3 linked regions of the Mytilus edulis genome follow. The protein of the gene in region 2 interacts with the protein of the main gene of each other region in a pairwise test. Links are inferred from orthologs where the notes say so. Each region holds a gene or a part of one and is shown on either strand. Other genes may lie near its edges. The genes, in order: syntenin-1-like, chaperone Ric-8A-like and prenylated Rab acceptor protein 1-like.

The links.
Region 1: the proteins of chaperone Ric-8A-like (region 2) and syntenin-1-like interact in binary tests that used the Homo sapiens proteins (3 or more experiments, as listed by UniProt). The link is inferred for Mytilus edulis from reciprocal best matches to the Homo sapiens genes RIC8A and SDCBP.
Region 3: the proteins of chaperone Ric-8A-like (region 2) and prenylated Rab acceptor protein 1-like interact in binary tests that used the Homo sapiens proteins (3 or more experiments, as listed by UniProt). The link is inferred for Mytilus edulis from reciprocal best matches to the Homo sapiens genes RIC8A and RABAC1.

The regions. Positions count from the first base shown.
Region 1 is NC_092344.1:80,941,875-80,949,295, forward strand, and holds the start of syntenin-1-like, read left to right. Parts: upstream 1-4,371; 5' UTR 4,372-4,642; intron 4,643-5,235; 5' UTR 5,236-6,189; coding exon 6,190-6,243; intron 6,244-6,530; coding exon 6,531-6,734; intron 6,735-7,045; coding exon 7,046-7,216; intron 7,217-7,421. Other genes in the region: phosphatase and actin regulator 1-like, read right to left, coding at 4,135-4,246. UniProt on the Homo sapiens protein: Multifunctional adapter protein involved in diverse array of functions including trafficking of transmembrane proteins, neuro and immunomodulation, exosome biogenesis, and tumorigenesis.
Region 2 is NC_092350.1:6,076,683-6,084,160, forward strand, and holds the start of chaperone Ric-8A-like, read left to right. Parts: upstream 1-4,376; 5' UTR 4,377-4,491; coding exon 4,492-4,578; intron 4,579-7,285; coding exon 7,286-7,333; intron 7,334-7,478.
Region 3 is NC_092348.1:82,591,629-82,599,366, forward strand, and holds the start of prenylated Rab acceptor protein 1-like, read left to right. Parts: upstream 1-4,696; 5' UTR 4,697-4,987; coding exon 4,988-5,070; intron 5,071-7,738. Other genes in the region: tubulin-specific chaperone cofactor E-like protein, read right to left, coding at 1,285-1,396. UniProt on the Homo sapiens protein: General Rab protein regulator required for vesicle formation from the Golgi complex. May control vesicle docking and fusion by mediating the action of Rab GTPases to the SNARE complexes.

The sequences.
Region 1 (7,421 bases), on a different chromosome or scaffold from region 2:
AACCTTTCTTTTGTGGTCATAAACTTTGTGTCAAAATTTCATAGATTTCTATTAACTTAAACTAAAGTTATAGTGCGAAAACCAAGAAAATGCTTATTTGGGCCCTTTTTGGCCCCTAATTCCTAAAATGTTGGGACCAAAACTCCCAAAATCAATCCCAACCTTCCTTTTGTGGTCATAAACCTTGTGTTAAAATTTCATAGATTTCTATTCAGTTTTACTAAAGTTAGAGTGCGAAAACTAAAAGTATTCGGACGACGACGACGCCAACGTGATAGCAATATACGACGAAAAAATTTTCAAATTTTGCGGTCGTATAAAAATTGCCGAATTTTTAATAATTTTTTTTTACATTTACATGTTTGAAACACTATAATTCATTTTAAATTTTTAAATTCTTATAAATTGCAGATGGTTAACCTTGAAAGAAATAGTTGATTAGCTAATTGCAGATATTGATTAAAACTTTTCTGTAACAAAATATATTTCAATCTGTACAAAAATATGGGACTGTCAAGTTTATAACTAATCTGGTTAGGCAGAATTTATCAAAGTATTTGTCTACATTTTGCTCAGTTTTGAAATCAAGTGAGCCTGTAGAGTCTGACTAGTCTGGAAGTTTTGTTTGCCTGGACCCTAATGTCATGTATGTAATGACACAAAAGTTAACCTATTCAGGGACTGAAACACAAGGATGAATGTATTATACATTTACTCAGATTTATTTATATGAGGAGACCTACATAAATGTAGGCCTTATGATCAATAGCTCAGCTTTCCAATACATAAATTTGCTATATATATATGACTTCATTCAATGATTATGTTTAAACCCACCAGCAAAAATGCTGTTGATAAACAGTGATATCTGCCTATTAACAACAGTTACAAAGTTAACCAGATGCTCCACAGGGTGCAGCTTTATATGACTACAGAGGTCGACCCTGAACGGTTGGGCCTAGTATGGACACAACATTCAAACTGGATACAGCTCTGAATTTGGATTGTGATTAAATAGTTGACACAGCATAGGTTTCTGACACAGAATGAATGTGGTTTAATAAACTTAAAATTTGTTTTTTGCCTTTGAGCAATTCACTATGCTGTTGAATATTAATCCTCTCAAAAAAATGTTTGAAGAAATTTTCTTTTTATTTATGAAATCTGTAATGAGAAAAATTTACCCCCCCCCCTCCCCCGCAGCCCAATTTTTTTTCACATCCCCCTTTCCCTTTTTCCAAAACTGATCTCAATTCAAATTTCTAATGGAGTTTTCAACAATAACTACTCATTTAAATACATCATAAAATATTAAAATGTAAAAAAAGTGCTTGTTATCACTGAATGGTAAAGATTGTTTTAATTTATCAGTTGGTAGTACATTTTTAAAAGTGAATATACATTGTATATTGTATTGTATAAAACAATGATTTAAGTTGATTCAACTACTATTCTGGACAAAGAAAGATAACTCCAATTGAAATCCAATTGGAATTTCTTGCTATTGCACAATATTGTGCAATTAGATATTTCTTGCTATTGCACAATATTGTGCAATTGAAAAAACTTGCTATTGCACAATACTGTGCAATTGAAGATTTCTTGCTATTGCACAATACTTAATATAATAATTTTGGATCCTGATTTGGACCAACTTGAAAACAGGGCCCATAATCAAAAATCTCAGTACATGTTTAGATTCAGTATATCAAGGAACACCAAGAATTCAATTTTTGTTGAAATCAAACTTTGTTTAATTTTGGACCCTTTGGACCTTAATGTAGACCAATTTGAAAACAGGACCAAAAATTAAGAATTTACATACACAGTTAGATTCAGCATATCAAAGAACCCAAATTATTCAATTTTTGATGAAATCAAACAAAGTTTAATTTTGGACCCTTTGGGCCCCTAATCACTAAACTGTTAGGACCAAAACTCCCAAAATCAATCCCAACCTTCCTTTTATGGTCATAAACCTTGTGTTTAAATTTCATAGATTTCTATTTACTCATATACTAAAGTTATGGTGCGAAAACCAAGAAAAATGCTTATGTGGGCCCTTTTTTGGCCCTTAATTCCTAAACTGTTGGGACTAAAACACCCAAAATCAATCCTTACCTTCCTTTTATGGTCATAAACCTTGTGTTTCAATTTCATAGATTTCTATTTACTTTTACTAAAGTTAGAATGCAAAAACTAAATGTCTTCGGACGACGAGGACAACGTGATACCAATATACATGTACGACCAAAAAATTTTCAATTTTTGCGGTCGTATAAAAAAAAGCAGGGCGAGATAAAAATTTAATATGTCATGTTAGTGGCAGATTGATTTTAAAAATATTAGTCACATTTAACTTATTGAGCTTGATATGTGTTAATACTCCTTAATAGACAGTTCAGTAACATGCAAAGGACACATTTCAACAAAGATCTATGAGAAGAAAACAAAAATAAACACATAATTATTTTATAACAAAAACATATGATCCCCACGTAAATTGTTCTCAACACTCTGAAATCTTCTGTCATCTTCAACTTCTAGTATAGATGCATTTGCATCTTGACTTCATTGATTGTCTCAAGTGCAATATAGTTATCATAAAACTCAAATGCTTCTCTCAAGGTTCTCTTGCTTCAAATACAAGCAGAGAATCTTTCTTTGGTTTTATGAAATTTTTGTTGCCTTGAAATGCTTGAATGTCTTTATAAAATTCCTTTGTAAGTCAATTATTTGAATTTGAAAGTGAGGGAAATAAATTAACAAGTTTCTACTCTAATGCAGAGTAACATTACAAAAGTTCAGAGTTCATGCATTTATAACTTGTATGTCAATTGATACTTGGACATTTTACTTACAAAGAACAACTACTACACAAGTTTATAAATCAATCCAAATTATAATTTATATACCAGTCTCACTTCTACCTAATTGTATTTTTATGAAAACTATTGCAATATATCATTTGCTCAAATGTGATGCTGTATTTTGAAAAGAACAACATTCACAACGACAGGCTACATGCCTTTTGAAGAAATAATGGCTGTGAAAATTAACATGTAAATGTCATTCATGGTAGTCATGGTAGTACAAGTGTCATCACCATCCCACAACAACCAGACATTTTCTACAGAAAATTAAAAAAGAACCCCTGAAAGATAGGGGAGACAAAACAGGCCTATTTCATTTTTTAAAGACATACGTACACCGTCTAGCTGAAATATCAACAGAAAATCTTTAGCATCCACAAAGTACATGCATAGTGAAAACTATCTCAGAATTCCAGCTCAGACAAACCCTTTTATAATTCAGCTTCCTACCAAGACAATTAAAATTGGAACATCCGATGTCACTAAGATTCAAATCTCAATTTGATGAATGACCTGGAGACCCGAGTAATTCTGAGTAAACTTGTCATAGGTTATGGTTATTGTGACACGACAACAAAAAGCATTTTTTTTTCCATGTATGTCACAGTTCAAAATGATTGACCTACGGTCAACTGTGGTAATTTAACTAATTCTTTTAAAAAAAACTTTAGATCGGTTAAAAGCAAGATGTTCACAGATGTTGTAAGGGGTCCCCATTTGTGACGCAAGTAATTAAGGGTTGACACACTTTGAAGTAAAGTCTCTGATTAGACTAAATAAACAGTAGAACATGTAGAAAACAATCAATGCAATTTGAAAGGCATTTAAAAAAAACTTTCAAAATGTCTATTAAAAATTGCAAGTAAAGACTAATTTCCGATAACAAAATACAGGAGCAACTTATTTCTTTATATGTTACCAATAGCCATTGTCATTAGACAATTGATACACGCAGTGTTTCACTGTTGTCTGTTGAAACTGACAAAGTGACAGGTACCTAAAATTAGGAGTCTCATATTATTTGAATGAAAGATGGAATAGAAAACAGGACATCCTTAATCATAATTCTGTCAAGAAGTAACTGTTTGACATACAAATTTTCAATACATGATTTAATAAGTTCAACCAATTCAATTATTGTGAAAATTGACAAAGGAAGTGACTAAATTTTGAACTGGAATTTTAAAGTTTATATCGACCGGGGTGGGGACATTTTCTCTTTGTTTAATGGCTGATTTGATAGAAATTTGTTTATTATTACCCTTGACAGACAGTGTGTCTTTTTGTTCGTCCAGGTTTGGTTGAGGATCACTGTTACTGCGCTGTCGTGTGTATTTTTGTCCAGTTACACTTTCATCTGTTTTGGTGGCCATGATCGGTGATGGCCATTTTAGGGATTACTTCCGGTTTGATTGGGGGTCAACATTTTATAAAAAAAAATATCTCATTTTAAAGATAGGTTTTGGCAACTGAAACAAAAAAATATCAATCTGTTCACATAATTTTTTATTTTATATTTGATAAACAATGGTCACCGGAAGCATCGTGATGTTTACTGTTACTAAAATTAGAAGTGAAAGTCAAGGGCACATGACTAATGACGTCATCTAATCAGGAGACATTGTGAAAGGGGTAATAGTCATAATATTCACAAAAGACACATAAATACATATCTACCTTTCATTCAAGAAGAAATATTGTCAAGAGGAAAATCGAATTATTGTCGATAACAGGTACTAGATAATATTTTAATTGATTTTGTTATTAAAGTATGATCAAGCATTAAGGTTCATCATAAGGAATTGAAAAATATGGCCGTGTTTACACCTCCAAAATTACTATGAGTACAGACAAACTGGTACATCCAGGAAAGTTTTAAGGCATGGCAGGAACTAGATATATAAAAGTTATATGAAGTCTACGTTTCAGAAAATTAAAAACTTACCTGGATTTTGATGTTCATTTTTTTCCAGTCTGCAGAAGATAGCAAAATAAACAAACACCCGAGTTTCATTTGATACGGTCCACTCAGTTACACAGTTTAAACCTGTTAAAACACCTATTGTTTACAGGTGTCTATTGTCCATCTATTGTCCATTTAAATCAATACTACTCACAACATTGATTATATGAGGGGAGATTCTCAATCGTTTTCACTACTTAGTTAATTTTTGCACCTTCTGCAGGAACGAAAAAAAATGGATAGCAAAATCTAGAAAAGTTTATAATTTTCTGAAACATAAAATGCATTTAAAATTTATATATCTAGTTCCTGCCATCCCTTAAAACTTTTGCAGGTGTATAGGTTAGTCTGTACTCAGAGTAAAATTTAGGGTGTAAATACGGCCATTTTAGCCAAAAGGTTATGATGAACCTTAATTCTAATTCAGAAAAATAAATAATTGACAACAATAATAAATGTCAAATTGATTATTATGCTGATTAAGGAAACATAGGTTAAAAAAATGCAACTTGGTGTTTAAAATACTCATATAACATGCTGTCTAACAGAAAGAATTTGATCTACAGTTTCAGTACTAGAATATAAAGGTGTGTGTTTTTTAAGATCAATAATGAATAAACAACTTCCTGAAAGTCATGACAATGTATATCCTATTTCCTCACCTTTATTACAGTTTGGAAATCTGTAATTCAAGTGTTTGGTTTGATTTTGAAAATTCGTTTGTGCCAATAAAATATTGTCTATTGTCTATTGTCTATGAAAATCTCACATTCACCAAATGTACAGTTTTAATGAAAAGATAGTTATCTATATATGCAGTTGTCTTCACTGCAAAAAACAATGAAATCTAGAATACTTATCAATTTACGTTTGTAAATACATTAATAATACTGTATACATGCATCTGATGTGTGATTTGCAAATTCAAATGGGGATAAATTTACAACATGTAGCAGCAATATTCATATTTAGATTTACATACAACATTCTGTTGATGGAAAAAAGTAAAAATCAAAAATGTTTTCCAAATATTTTTTTCAAAAGTGGAAGTATTATGAAAGATAAATAGAACCTTAAGCTTACTGACAGACCCATCTGTAGTACCATACCCCTCATCTAATAGGCTATTAGATGACAATACATTTGAAATCCACAGCTCAAAGATTAATTTTTTGATTAATTGCTGCTTTATGTTGTGCATGTTCCATATGTTCTGAAAGGTCTAATACGCTGATGTAGCAAAATGTCATATTTACGAAATTTATACATGTAAATGTACATTTGTATGTTTTAATAAATTAAATCATTTGAATTATACATTTTTTCTTTTCAGATCTACTTAAGTAAAACAAGATGTCTCGTTTATACCCAACATTAGAAGATATGAAGGTTGACCAGATGCAACAGGTAGGGTTTAAATGTCATTGATTTAGAAAAGTCCTGGCAAGGCCCTGTTTTAGTTGTTAATTACATGTATTTTGTCAGTTATTTTGTGATTATTTAAAATTGTTAGGTATATTTGTTTACAGCTTCAGTTATATTAAATTTATGATGCACATTCTTTACCTGATAATATTATATCCTTTTAGTGTACTTCATTTAAAAGTGCTGTGTTCCATTTTATGTGTAAAATGTACTTTGTTTATAAATTCTAAATTGACAAGAACAACCAAAATGTATCTCTTATATTTTAGGCTCAGCATCAGTATGAGTCATCAGCTGCAAGTCAACCAATCACATACCCTCAACAAGGGGCACCTGCTACCTACCCACAACAAGGAACAGCAGCTCCCTACCCACAACAGAGTGGATCATCTCTGTATCCCTCACTAGGAGAGTACATGGGATTAAATCTCACTCCAGAGTTTCTTGAACAAAACATGCCAGTAGTAGCACATGTAAGTTTTAAATCCTGCAAACTGAAAAGTTTTTTTTCCTAATCTGCATTTTAATTTAAATATTGTTAAGTAAACATTTATTAAGGCTTAGAGCATACCGAAGTATCTTTCAATTTTCTCTCTCACTTTCAAGAATAGATTATCAATTTTTTTCACTAATAAATCATTGAAGACTGAAACATCTATAATCAATACGAAATTCACTGAAAGAAAAAGAATATAGGAAAAATATCTGGAGTCAATGTTTAAGTTCTAATTTGATTGGAAACACTAATAGTCTATTGTATATAAGTATTTATTAAATGTTTCAGAATATGCAGATAGCTACTACACCAAGTCCTAGTCAGTCTATGATTGCACCAATAACTGGACAAGGAAACAAAGGTTTAGTAAGAGCTGAAATCAAAGGAGGTGTTAGGGAACTAGTAGCATGTAAGGATGGTGATGGCAAAATAGGTCTTAGATTACGTCATATCAACAGTGTAAGTCATTTATCTACAAAATAGGTCTTAGATTACTTCATATCAACAGTGTAAGTCATTTATCTACAAAATAGGTCTTAGATTACGTCATATCAACAGTGTAAGTCATTTATCTACAAATTCATTCAAAATAATTTTTAAAAAATCACAAAAGGAATTTAAAAATGTATAAAATGAACATTTATTCAAAAACAAATTCCACCTA
Region 2 (7,478 bases):
TTGCTTTTGTGATATCAACATACGTAAATGATTGGGTTTTTTTTCAGCTAAGGCGAATGAATTAAGAACAATTGAACGCATATAAAATCGAAGGTTGTTCATAAATATGATATAAAACAAAATGAATCCGTAAGCAGTCGAATGTTTGAATATCAGCATATTTTGAAAAAAAAAATATATCGATATTCTCATTTTCAAATCACCGAAATTAAACCATAACAAGTTACCTTATATATGGCAAACAGTTTTAGACTCAATTTCAACACACATTTTGATTCAAAATTAAATGTTCTAATCTTTCCTTAAAATAATTGATATCATTACCGCTAGTTCTTATCTTATTCAAAAATATGAAATATTAATATAAGATATGATTGCAGCGAAGGGATTTGGAAAGAAGATCGTCCTGATATTCATGAATTCATGAAGAAGAAAGAAAGAAACAACTGTTATTGATAATTGATCACTGAAACTGTCCCTTGTACAACTTGAATCCAAATATAAAACACTGAAGTTACTCTAGGCCGAAGAGCTTCGAATCCACTATATATTTTGAACCGGAGAGCTTAAACACAAGTTGATGTTTTGATTCTGCCAAACAAAAAGTGAACTAGATATTGCATTAATTTATACATCTCTGAGTATTACAAAATATTTCAAAAGTTAAGATTCATTTTCAAATTCGCCAGTCCTAGAATCTACAAAAGCAAACATGGAGAAAAAACTAAATATGATAAGACCAGGCAAAGATTGTCAATAAACGTGTAGCATATTAACTATATACTGTTATACCACTGTCCCAGGTTAGGGGGAGGGTTGGGATCCGGCTAACATGTTTAACCCGCCACATTATTTAAGTAATTCTCGTTTGAATTGTTTTACATTGTCTTATCGGGGTCTTTTATAGCTGACTATGTGGTATGGACTTTGCTCATTGTTGAAGGCCGTACGGTGACCTATAGTTGTTAAAGTCTGTGTCATTTTGGTCTCTTGTGGACAGTTGTCTCATTGGCAATCATACCACATCTTCTCTTTTATACACTGTTAGACAGAGAGAAACAAAACATTCAATTTTAAGGCATAAAGTATTGACTGAGAATATTCATGGCTTCATGTTATAAGGGTAGTAAAAAGATAGTGTCAAATGTTATTTTTAAAAAGTTAAATTTTGAATAAAATGAACGTCAAAACATCTCAGAAATTAAGCTTATAATATATTTTGTTTAAAATTGCAAATATGCATATTTCGAGGTTAGGACAGCAGCATAAGTGTGAAGAATCAATCAAATCCTAAATACTAACGCCTAGAATAATAATAAAAAAAGAACCATATAAAAAATAAAAAAGTGCTACCCTATATTTTTTTTTATAAATGAACTTTATCATATACTTAATAGAAAAATGAAATAAAAAAATGGGGTCACCGTTCATTTAAGTTGACAATCTGCCACCGAAAGAAGCATATTAAATGTTTGTTAATGTACTTTTTTTCTGTTGAACCAGAGACATATATACACATATATGTCTCTGGTTGAACTAATCTGAGACCACGTGTTATAGTAGTCTCAGAACTAATAGGAGAAAAAAAGGTAGTATCGAAATAAAAAAAAAAGAACTAAATTACAGAAATCGTTAAAATTTTACAATTATTTAGTTTATGAACAGCTTTTTTGAAAACAATAATAAAAAATATATGTAACCGATGAGTTAAAAAAAATATTTCAATTTTAATGCCAAAAAAATGGCATTTTTGCACCAAAGGGAGATAATTTGGAGCTTTTTCAATGATATAAATACATTTTGATAACAGTCATCTGGGGCCAAACCGAATGGTTTTTTTTTATTGATTTTTGTACCATATCATAAAGTAATAACTAATAGTGTAATAAATAGAAATTTTTGTACCCGCGAGCCTCCTTAAAACTTTATGTTTGAAGTTATGTTAAGGAGACTAAATAGATTAGTAATGGTTAGGTAAAAAGATATAATGAGCCAATGGATGAAAAGTGCATTTTAACGATCCACTGGTTCTTTCATTTAACCTTCTGATTTAGAGTCTTTTCGCAATTCCTCTAATAATTAGACAATAGTATCGGTTGCCTCAAATGACTACCTATTGATTGTCTAAGAGATGCACTTTGACAACATGTATTCATTTATTATACACACAGTAAATTTAAACAATGAAAAAAATGATACACTTGCACTCAGATCTGCGTACTGAGTCGATGTTTTGAATGAATATCATTAAGGACATTTTCAAAATAATGATACTTATTGTGTATAAAATATCCTTTTAGATTTTAAGCTTATTCTTATACAGTTATATAATTGTCGGTGAGAAGATCGTGCTGGCATGGTGTAATATCATATTGATATGAAATTTGGTTATTATTCTAAATCTCCTGACATCCAGCATGTTTACCGCAGTAGTACATCTTTTTGCACAATTGATGATTTGAGTTCAGTATTTGTGATTTTACTTTTTTGTGTTATTTCAAGTTTTGTCATGCATGAGGAACATGTACGCCGTTAATTATATATATATGATTTATTAACATGCAGTTGCGCTATACATATTTCGACTATGCCCTGGCGTTAGGGGTTTCTGGGTTTATTTTCTTTTGAATTTACAAATGAGTTCGATTCTGGCATTACAGCAATAACTTGGTGAATGTATACTTGCGGAAAAACATTAAGAAAGCACTGGCAGGAGGAATCGTCTTTTGTTGTGACAGAAGCATTACTGGTGGACCATAAACTTAAGAAAATGGCATGCACTGTATAAATAAAGTTATTTATTTTATTTTCCTTCCTTTTCCTATCTGCATGGCAAAATCTTATATTAGAAAAAAAAAATTTATACCCGCGAGCCCCCTTAATTCACTGTTGTACCTCTTTATTGTTTTCATGAAAATTCTAATATTTCGTAATTACACATCGTTGACTATTAGGCTATTAAGAAATACATACCTGTTAAGCGACGCATATGTAGATCATTGGCGGATCCAGGGGGGGGGGGTGTGGTTCCGGGGGTTGGAACCCCCTTTTTTTGGACGATCAATGCATTTGAATGGGAGCATATAGTTGGAATCCCCCTTTACTCGGCGTTGGGACCCCCCTTTTTGAGATGGTTGGATCCGCCCCTGTAGATTAAACAAAGTTGATAAATGATACATTTCGTTATCGAGCATTGATAAAGGCCTGCAACTTAGAAAATCAAAATTATCTCCCCTTAATTGACCTTTGACCTTTGACCTTTGCACTTCAATGGAAACAAAGAACTATTAATGCAAATAATTATTGACTCAACCAAAGTACGGGAAAATATTCAAATTCTCGACGAAGAAATTACAACAGAGATAGAAAGAATAAGCAGAAAACTGTGCTATGACCTCCATTGTGGCAGAACATTATTACACAAAAGGATGGCAGTATCAAAGCAGTCTGAGGCAAAAGACCCCGGGTGCAATGTCTAGATAACTATTAATTAATTTTTACCCCCAAAAATAAAAATTGAGTTAGTTAATTATCAGACATATATCTTAAAAGGAAGCTTAAGAGTAAACTTAATTGGGCAATGTAACACAAAAAGGAATATACAATATTTTAGTTTTTTTTAAAAGGCCTAAATTGGTAATATCTCAGATCAAATATTTTAGATTTTATAAAAGTATTATGATTCTATATTATCAACCTCTATTTTAACTGTAGAACAACTGGTTAAATGGAAATAAACTGATATAAATTCTGCATGTTCTGTACAGTAACATAACAGTTAATTTTAATTTTAGTCGTGTACATAGTAATGATAAATCCCAGATCATTAAATACCAATCTATATTTTTATAATCCTTTTATTTTTCTGTCAAGAAATAAATGAATAAACTATGTCCTTTTACCTTTTACCAGTAAATCTATTTCACTCCTTTTTAATCTGTACGTTTTAAGATATTTTGACTAACATTATTATATGCTTAATGTACATAAAATAGTAGGTGTAAATATTTTTATGTTAGTTTTTACATTAAAAAACGGTTTTAGGACAACGATAATCTTTTAAGGATTGTATATATTCTAATCTGGTTTGCTCCATATTTTTAAACAGTAATAAATAAAAATAAGGGTTTTTTTCTGTTACCGTGTGACACGGGTGCTCCGTTGCGGAGGAATTTACATAGAGAAGAAGAAGAAGAAGATCCTTTCCTCAAGCATTTGAATTATTATTTTACGTTTCTTTAATCACTCTGTAATGTTTATGTCATGTTGTAATTAATGTTATGCTCTTAATTGGCCCTTTAATTAATATGGAAAACAAAAATATTGTATTGTATTGTATTACATGTTGATTCCGTAAGACATAAAAGCTGTATATGCACGCACTTATTTATAACTGCAGAACACTATTTGAAATCGCATAAAATGATGAAGCTGAAGATGTCACTGAATATCATAAACAAACATATTATTTAGCAATATTCTGTTATCAAAATGAATATTGACGACAGGTGCTTGCGTATTTTAAACAGTGGATCTGACAAAGAAGCATGCAGTGTGCTACTTGAACTAACAACAAAGGTATGGACTATATATACATTTGTAAGAATGGAAATAAGTCAATTCAAAACATATAAGTTATTATTATTATTTGGAACAGTATTCCGTATCAAAGACCTTTTATTGGTCAAGTACCAGTTTTCTCTTTAGAAATTCATCTTTTTTTCTAGAATAATCTTAAAATGAAATATATTATAAAAAAGAAGATGGGGTGTGATTGCCAATGAGACAACTCTCATCAAGAGACCAAAAGACACAAAAATTAACATCTATAGATCACTGGTATCCGGTCTTTTCGGCCCCAAACCGATCCGGCCCCAAGTCAATATGGCCCAAAGTCGATCCGGTCCAAGTCGATCCGGACCCAAGTCGATCCGGCCCCATAATAAAATATGAAAAAACTATATTCACTATATGGAGGAATTTTTGACAAATTTGAACAGTATATATAAACGAAATCATTAGTCTACAATTGGTTTGTTTATTCAACAATTGTCTAATGATTGTGAACTAAGGTAATGCCACTCGTAATAATCACTTAATTCAATCAAATCCCGATCGATTAATTAAAGTTGCGTAATCAACAAGGTCTTTACATACCTGTCAACCTGTGACGATGAAAATGTAGGTCATGACCTGCATTGAAGAATCAAATCTCAGGTCATAATGCGTACAAACTTTTTCCAGCTGAATTTCAGTTGATATATTATTATAGTTGAAATATGTTTGTAAAACAACAGTGCAATTTATTTACGACCTAAAGCTAAGGTAATTGGTGTTAATTAACACTGTGTTTGACACCAAAGCTGTCAAGTAAAGCCAAGCACTTAATGGGTCACTTAATTTGACAGTTTACACAGCTAGATGAACTTCCTGTTCATGGACGAATTTGCTGGTATTTCAAAGGTTTATTACCTAAGAAATCAATCTCATGGCTAAGAAATACGGGTGAAAACGGGTCATTTTCGGAATTCCCAGGTTATTCAATAACCCGGCGGGTGACCCGGGTGATCCCTCAGAATTGTGAAAATCTCAGGTCACACCCGCAGAATACGGGTCAGTTGACAGGTATGTCTTTATAATTTGATCTTTTGTTTGGTGTATATAATAATAATTAATTGTAATTTTATTTCAGGTAACATCAGAGGCTTCTATATAACACTTTTTTTTTGTAATATTGAATATAGTCAATATATCTGTCACCAAGGTCCACTCGAGAGCACTGTTAGATAAGGGGGAGCTTACTCGTATGTGATGGAACGAAGGAACAGGGGGTCAGTCTATGGCTAGACTTAATGTTCTGATAGGCATAGCTAAAACGCAAGGAAGGTTTTCATAATTTAATTACCATGATTACTATAAAAACTTAGTCGAATGATGATAACAAATCAATTTGTAAACAATTCCAAATAATAATAATAATAATCTAATCAAAGTACAAAGTATCAAATCTAAATATCAAATCCAAAGTAAAGTTATTTCTCCTTAAAATGTAAAATATAAAAATAAATGCCAAAACTACTAAAACATAAAATGTACTTAATCTCAATTTCAAAATATAAAAGTCTCAAAATAAAAGTTTCTCAAAAGTATTTTCTAAAGTTAAATTTATAAGTCAGAGATAAATTTTGTCTTAACACTACACCGCCAACTGGTAGACAGTCTTATAGGTCCAGTATAATGACGTTAGTAGTGTGAGGTTACGCTTCCGAAACACTGACTGCCTTTCCAAAATTTCACAACAATATTTATACCAAAATCTAAAATAAATAAATATGTCTTGACACATTCATAATACTCTCATTAGCAAAAATATACTTTAATTGACAAAGGATAATCCTGTAATGTTTTGATAAAAATCTAAACTTTCAAAGTGACATATGTTAATTGCAATTTATATTTCAAAATAAAGTGCTTTGAGCAAACTGTTACATTTCGAGTATTAATGCCACAGCATAGGTAAAATCAATTAAACAAATTAATTAATATTTTACTAAATACAAACATAAAATTTTCTTTCTTAAAATAAAACATATTTTTTATCCAAAATAACACTAACACAAATTTAAGCCAAATAACACACCATGACATATTTTAAGTTTGTATGTATCAGCTTGGGGATCGGCTTGTACCGTTGTGTGTGTAACTATTTGTTATTACACAAGACAAAAGACTTGTTAGGATCACAGTCAATTGAAAGAAAATGCTAATTACTGCTGATTAATGTTGATGTCTGAATTCTTTTTATATATATGTTTTAATATATCTATATGTAATTATCTTATTGAACATTTTTACTTAGCATAAATTATTTTCCTTATTTTGTGTGATTAAAGATGGTTGCATTGATCATGTTGATAAGTAAATAAACATCAATTCCATTTTTTTAGCCTCGCATGCATATTTTTATTTAGAAGACAAAGCATTGTCTTCCAATGTTGTCAAAATTTCATGTAGATGCTTGAACTTTTTTTTAAATATGCTTGGATTTTGAAAATTATCAATTTTGGTAACTTATTGACTTGTAGGAGTCAATATTTGCAACTTTTTAATTCAGGTCAAATATTTTTTGCTAAACACTATTCGACGTCATAATTTGTCTTAAATTAAAGGGAGACAAATTTTAAAACCTTCAAGTTTAGACCTCTGTGAGTCAAAAGCAGATTTAGACTTATTTATGTCTGAGCTCTGACTGCTTAATTGTGAATCATATCTTTGATACTTTCAGCATGCACAGACCTTCAGTTTTCCAGATCTGAAATTAGAAGCCAAACAGGTACATATTAATTTTTCTTAATCTGACAGTTTGATAGCCCAAAACCCTGAAATTTTGTAAACATGACATTGCTTTGGGTTTGTAAGGCTCAAGGTAGCCTGAATGTCTCCCTCCATCTTTGATTTTGAAATAGCTGATAACAATA
Region 3 (7,738 bases), on a different chromosome or scaffold from region 2:
AAGTTTGGCAAATGACGAAGATAGATTTTCTGGACAGGTCTTTTAATAAAATACAATAAAAAATGTCAATTAAATAAAGATCCCCATATGCGACAAGCTCACTTATGTCCTCTAGGAAAAGGTAGTAAGGTCTTTAATCATACAATTTGACTTCAACTTTAAAGTCATTAATGATATATGTTGTTCTTCTTATATGTTCCACCACTATCCAAGGTTAGGGGGTGGGTTGGTGTTTTCAAACATATTTAACCCTGCCCCATTCTATATGTGCCTTGTTTTAGTCAAGAAACTGTAATTCAGGGGTAGCAGTTTTTAGTTTATTGTTTTGCCTATTATTGTTTACATCAAATTCATTTAAACTTTGGTGGATAGATACATTCTCATTGGCATTTATATCACATCTTCTTACTTTTATATAATTGCCATAATTGAATAAAATTGAGAATTGAAATTGGAAATGTGTCAAAGAGACAACAACCCGACCATAGAAAAAACAACAGCAGAAGGTCACCAACAGGTTATGCATCCTTATTCATTAAAGCATCCAACTTAAATGTTATTCTATTTTTTGATGGCCAATATTGTCTCATTGGCTCACCTTCACCACACCTATCCTCTTCATGTCGGTCTGCATTTAAGGCCCTGATACATTTTTTTTCCCTCATTGGCATTTATACAATATCTCCTTATTTTTATACATGTGTATTATATATTAATTAGGATCCCTAAATAGACTAATAGAGTGACTACAAAAATGTAAATACAAAATGAACATCTATACTTCATAGTCATGATAGTCACATTGGCTGAAATGCATTTGCTGTTTTTGAGAAGAAGAAACAATTCACTGCAGACTTTTTTTCAAATCTCTATTGTTTGAAGCTTAAGTATAACTACACTACAGAGAGAAAAGATAAAACTTACTAAGTTCTCATCTTCTAAAGAGAAACAAATTTATTTAAAATGTTACTACGTATTATGGGAAGAAAGACTAACTGACATATTTATACTTTTTACTACAATAATACTAACTGCAAACAGAACAGACTACTTAAACTTTGCAATTGACAGCAAATCTCAATTCAAGAAAGTATGTTAGGCAGACACAGTCTTTGAGTATTACACTAGTATAAAATCAGATATTTTGTTCAGTTATCCACTGGTGCATGTGCTTACATGTATACTCATCATGACATGTACATGTACCTGTTTTCCCAGGCGCTGAAGCTAGTATGTGTATATATGTATATTGTACATGCATACCATCATGACAATAATGTTTACCTGTTTTCCCTGGAGCTGAAGCTGGTATGTGTATATGTATACATGTTTCCACATCATCATCATATTTTTGATGAATTGCCTCAACCATTGTTATTCCTGTAGAGGCAGTCATTCTGCCAAAAAAAAAATTAAAATGAAGAAGAAGTTTTATAGTTAATAACTTTATTCTACAAACTGTATCTTTTAAACTGAAATGTAGTCTGGGAAACACTATGCTATAACAACCACAAGTATAGATTTTGTTGAAGCTAAATTAAAATAAATGGGGAATGTCATTATGTGTATAATTTTTTCATTGGTAATGGAGCATTACTCTAGAACAGTAAAAGTGACACATCTTCATCTGTATTTGTGGTAATAAGCATGTTGTATGAGTTTCATAACATTGCTCTAAGGCTAACTTTTAGGTTATAAATTTAATCAAAATAAATTATCAGAAGAAAGGTCTAATAATTAATATGCTTTCAAATAAGAAAAAATAACATTTTTGCTGTTAACAGTTTATCTATATCATTTTAATAATAATCAAGATAATAACCAAAAACTGCAAAATTTTCTTAAAATTACCAATTTAGCAGCAGCAACCCAACAATGGATTTATGAAATTTCAGAGCTGATTTAAACTTCACCTAAGCAACACTTTAACCCCATGTCATTATTTTCTCTAGATGCTTTGATTTTGAGATTTAAGTAAAAAAATGCATTTTCCCTCTATGTTCTATTTTAGACATGGCAGCCATGTTTTTTGACAAAACAAAAAATAAGACAAAAACTTCAGTCTAGTTACCCTACGGATAATTCAGCTTAAGTTTGGTAGGAATTGGTTCAGTGCTTTCAGAGGAGATTTTTGAAAAAGTTCTCATCAGACAGATGATGACAGACAACGATGGACACAAAGTGATGGCAAAAGCTCACTGTTTCTAAAGGGGGTCTCATTGGGGGGTTCAGATCCCGGATTCCGCTTACTGTTTTGTCAGATTCCCATATCTCGCTTCACTACATGTATGTACGTAAGCAATTCTCATTTTTAATCAGTGATCGGGAAGGTCGTGCGCCCTGCGCCTATAGCGCATATTGACCAGAAATGGCGCATAGAGTGACAAATGTAAGCGCCCACGTGGCGCACGATATTTTTCACATCGTTTCGAAATGTTTAGATATCGTCAAATGGATTTCTGATCGTGTTCCGTGCCGCCATGTGTGTGTACACAACTGTATAATGTTGCTCCAATCATAGGAGCACCTGTATATATTTTTGGGACGTCTCATTGTTTTCCTATGGTAATAGAACCATGCGGTTTAACGTCTCGGGTGTTTTCCTATGGTAATAATAGAATCATGCGGTTTAACTGATAACCCAAAAAACGTAATTAACCATCATTCATGATATAATTTTTTATAAACAACTTTAAATTTGTGAAATTTGGCTATTACAGACGAGATGTAACTCTAATAATAATCTTTAATTTAGTTTCCCTTGCTATATTCGATTGAAAACCCCCGAAGCCTTTTTATGAATATAGTTTTTGTCTCCATAAAAGGCGCTTAACTACAACTCCTGGTCATTTTTTGGTCTTTGACCAGTTTTGACATTTTGTACACATGACCAGTGAATTATTGTTTTGTTCTATCAATTAGTGGTACTCTCTACTGTCATCATGATAAAGTAATAATAATAATACATGAAGTGCAGAGGAAGTGCGTCTGGAATAAGTATGGTATCGACGAAGACCCAAATTTATTGTTAAAAAATCCAACATGAACATGAACAAGCCAAGGCAACAGTACCAGTTTAAACATTGTAAATAAAGGTTATCTTTAATATTGTCTGCTTTGGAAGAACTTATTGTATATTCATTGAAATTACAGAATCACAGGAACAATTATTATCCATGATATTATTTAAAATCGTAAAGGTAAGTACCAACACCTCTTTGCCAAAAAATAATGATACTTTTTATTTTTTTTACCGAAGTCAATTCAAATGGCCCTCTCATTTGACAATATGGCCCATTATTTTTTAAAATGGCCCATTGAATTTATTTTTGAGGGGCCATGGGCCCATAGTGAAAAAAACCTTCCAGATCACTGAATTTTTTTGTCATTTCCCGGGTCCCGCAAGACCTCATTTCCTGTTTTCCCGACACAAATAATTTGACTTTCATGTGTCACGCTTACAAAAAATGGTCAATCCCGCATCATGCTTATACGTCCCCAATGACTGAATGAGACCCACTCTAAAAATCCAAAATGACATTTATCATGCTGAAGGTAGCCAAAAAAATAATAAGTCTGACGTTAAAGGACATTTTTAAACTCTTATAAGATATGCAGCTATAAAATAAATGAAAATGTCAAAATTTGCACAAGGAGGCCTTGGTCAGACTTCTTCTTCTTCTTGTCTCCGTATGAGCCTCCTTTAAATAGGAGCACCACCATAGTTATGGCGTATAAAGGAGGACATTTGGAGCCTGTATCGGTACAGATTAATGTGAGCATTTGCCTACCCAATTCCCCAGCCAGGCCGTGACGGGTCTTATTACCAGAAAGTTAACCTTCCCAAAACATAAATACAATGCAATCAAATAAAACATACGAACTCACACACTCACCTGATTCGCTCAGTCCTCAAAGTATAAAAAGTGTATTTTTTCTATGTATCAAATATCCTTTTTTAATATCTGTGTGTTTTGAATGGGAGAGGGTCACCCCGGATGCCCCACAAATGCCTTGGCAAAATACGTCTAAGGTAATAACGAGGAATCGGTTAGGACAAAATCTATCAAAACCGACACTACCAAATGCCCTGCTGTATCAAGGTAGAGGAAAGCCGAAAATCCTACTGAATAGGATCTCGGAAAGAAACTACCGAACCATTAGGAGAACAGCAAGAACTCTCAGACTTCAAATGATAGGTCTGATAGTTTCCAATGGAAACTACTAATGGTTCCCATATGGGCAGAGCACGTGTCTCAAACATACCTAAAAATATCTGCAGAGGTTTTCCTCAACAAGAAAATAATGACCGAAATTGAAAGTATATAATCTATGGATGATAAAATGCATCCAAGAAAGCAATTTAGAAGACTAATTTGGATGATGTTGATGGATTCTCTCTGCAAAAATTTCACGTCCGTTCTCATCGACACCCACTCACAATCTTTAATTTTTTTTTTTACTACAGTGCCAGTGGCAGTGACAGTGTTCTTACAATGTAGTTTGGAAAGATATAATTAACATCATCATTGATCATATGCACTTTTGATACATTACCTAGATGTAATATTCGGTGTCAAAATGAATTAGGTGAAAAGACCAGGACAAACCGCTTAGTTGACTTTCATTCTATTATTAGCTATTTGGTATTTGAATGAATCATTGATAAAAAAAAAAAAGTAGAAGCCTATATTTTGAACCGGAAGTGTGAACTACGTCATGGAAGTCGTGACTTTTTTTTGTAGCTTTATGTACATGTTCTATTTTACAGTTTTAAGTAAGAAAAAAACACTATTTTATTAATTGCATTTTGTAATTTCTGTTCATAATTAATCTTCTCTTTGCTTTCCTTATTATTTATTCAAAAACATCCTAAATTCAGAAGGTCCTTTTCAAAAACAAATAGCACAAAGAACAACAAAAATATTTTGACACATCACTGCAACATCTGAATACCAAAAAGCTTGTTGTGTTGTTTTGACAAGAAATGACAGATACAAAGTTAGATTTTGGGAACATAGCAGGAGACATTGATATTCCAGATAAACAAAGCTCTTCAACAGGAAAAGGGTAAGAATCAGTTTGAATAATTGCAAAGGTCGAGCAGAATTTTAACATTCAGACTCAGTTGTATTTTTCTGTCTTTCTCTTTCAAAATTTAGTCTTCGACACATTTCCTATTTCTATTCTCAATTTCATTGAAATATAATATTGCCAAATAATATTCATCACCTAAAAATTATATTTCCTATATATTTGAGAATTCTTGACAGTCAACTCATCCTTTTGCCAAAAACTCCTGATGGTGAGTGACCAGCTTGCCTAGTCCAAATAATTATGACGTCTTGAAAGGCTATGATAATTTTTTTCTTTGACGCCTTACTTCGACGTCGACGTCGTCGAAGTAAGGCGTCAAAGAAAAAAATTATAATAGCCTTTCAAGACGTCATAATTATTTGGACTACCAGCTTGCCCAGAGTGGGTCTTTTCACCACCGAACACCACCGTACACCACCGAACACCGCCGAATACCTGAAAAACCACCAACCACTAAGAAAAACGTTGATATCATACAATAAAACGATAAAATAAATTAAATTACATATTATTTAATCAATTTTTCGATTTTTATGGGCATCATTTTGATGTTAAAATCGTAAATCATTACAAGAAAAAACGTCTCCGGATTCATCACTTTCCGGATTACATTGTGTGTGTTATAAAATTCAAATATATTCATAATCAGTAATCAGTTCAAGTATCCTGGATCTCTATTCATTGGTTAGATTTTTATATTTTTCTCTTTTATTATTATTGGAACAACTATTTTATAGAAGAGTTAGAAGAAGAAAAAATGGGAAAAATGAGGTGTCCATGAGGGTCAGCGGAGTTCAAAAAGTGGGGTGTTATAAGACTCTTCCTTTCTGTTTTCTGTAGATATTTGGACTTTAAATCTTCTTATTTGTTGAATTAATAACTTGAATATCATATTTAATTCACATTGATAACGATAAAAGACAAAATAATAAACTTTTGGGGTGTTCGGCGGTGTGCGGTGGTGTTCGGTGGTGAAAAGACCTACCGGCTTGCCCCAACATTCTACCAATTTTCCATAGTAAAAGATTTTGAATTACCCACTCCATATAAACATCAATTACCAGTCAGAAGACTATATGAATTAAAAAGCTGTGGTCCAATCTTACAGGATAGCTTGAACGGACGCCAAATGGATGTAAAAAAAATCTGTTGACAAATTTGTATCCTTTGGAAGTGCATAGGTGTATTGACCAAATTAAACAAGCGGATAACAAATGCCTAACGTACACGGATGTGGAATGTACATTCAATGGACAAGTACCACATAAAATGGACACCTAACGGATATGTACAGGATAAAATGGACACCTAACGGAAGCGTTCAGCATAAAATTTAAGAATGAGATAAGCAGAAAATTATTGGTGGCAATAATGATACATAAATCTTTCAGCAAATAGCTTCCAGTCTTATGCTGTGCTTGAGAAGGGCATGACTTCATCCACATACTTTTCGAAATTTGAATATACATTTGTACATGTACATGCAAAAAATTGATAGAATCTGGCCTGTAAAATAGTTTTGGCACTGTTGTCATTAGCAATGACGAGAGCGTGTCTGATAGACATGGTATATAAGCTAGTATGAGCCATCCCTTTATCATTATATTTGCTTTTGCAAAAGTGGGATCAGATGGACAAAGTTGAAGGTCACACCTACCAAACAAATGGATCAATTTATCTGATTCTTTTAGCATACAACCGCAATGAATTTTGCGGTTTTATATTGGTATCATGTTGTCGTTAGCGTCCTCCCATGCCAAGACATTTGGTTTCCAGACAATAATTTTAGTATGACATGTATAAGTACATGTATGTATACATGTGTAAATAGAATCTATGAAATTTGAACTCAAGGTTTATTATCGCAAAAGGATGGTTGGGATTGATTTTGGGGGTTATGGCTCAAACCATGTAGGAATGAGGGGCCAAAAAAGGAGGAAAAACACTTGGGTTTCCTGGTTAATGGACAATTACTTTTAAGTACAATGTTAAGTTTGAATTACCTCCCTTACTCTGCTTTTAAATTAGTTATAAAGAAATGTTCGTTTTGTGTGGAGGTGATTAGCTGTCAAATTATTTTCAAAAGTTACTCCCAGTATTATTATTTTTTGGGGGGAGGGTCTAATCTTAACAGCATATTGTATTGCACAAATGCAAAAAAAAATTAATGAACATATTTTCAATTGTCATTTATCCGTTTTACCTTCGTGACATATCTGTTTACCAGTTAACCTTCCATTCATGTCTGTTTCACATTTGTTCATTGTCTGTGTTGTACGGTCCATATTAGTTCCAATCTTAATTGATTACCATTGTATGGTTTCCTTTGCAAGATCATGGTCTGCAAGTTGTGCGGTTTTCCTCAAGTAAATGCTAAGTTGCTGCTATCATCTGATCATAGTTTAGAGTTTTGAAAGTGGTGTTCTGTATCAGCAGACAATCAATTCAATTCATCAAGATATTTATGCAGATCCTGATGAATACTAGCGAACAAAAGTCTAAACTACTTATAAATTGAATATTAATATTTCATTTCAGTTTGTAAGAAAGATGTCTAAAAATTCTCCTTTTGTATACTCGTTTTGCATTTTTTATATAGATAAGCCCCTTTGTTTTCATGTTTGAATGGTTTTACACTACT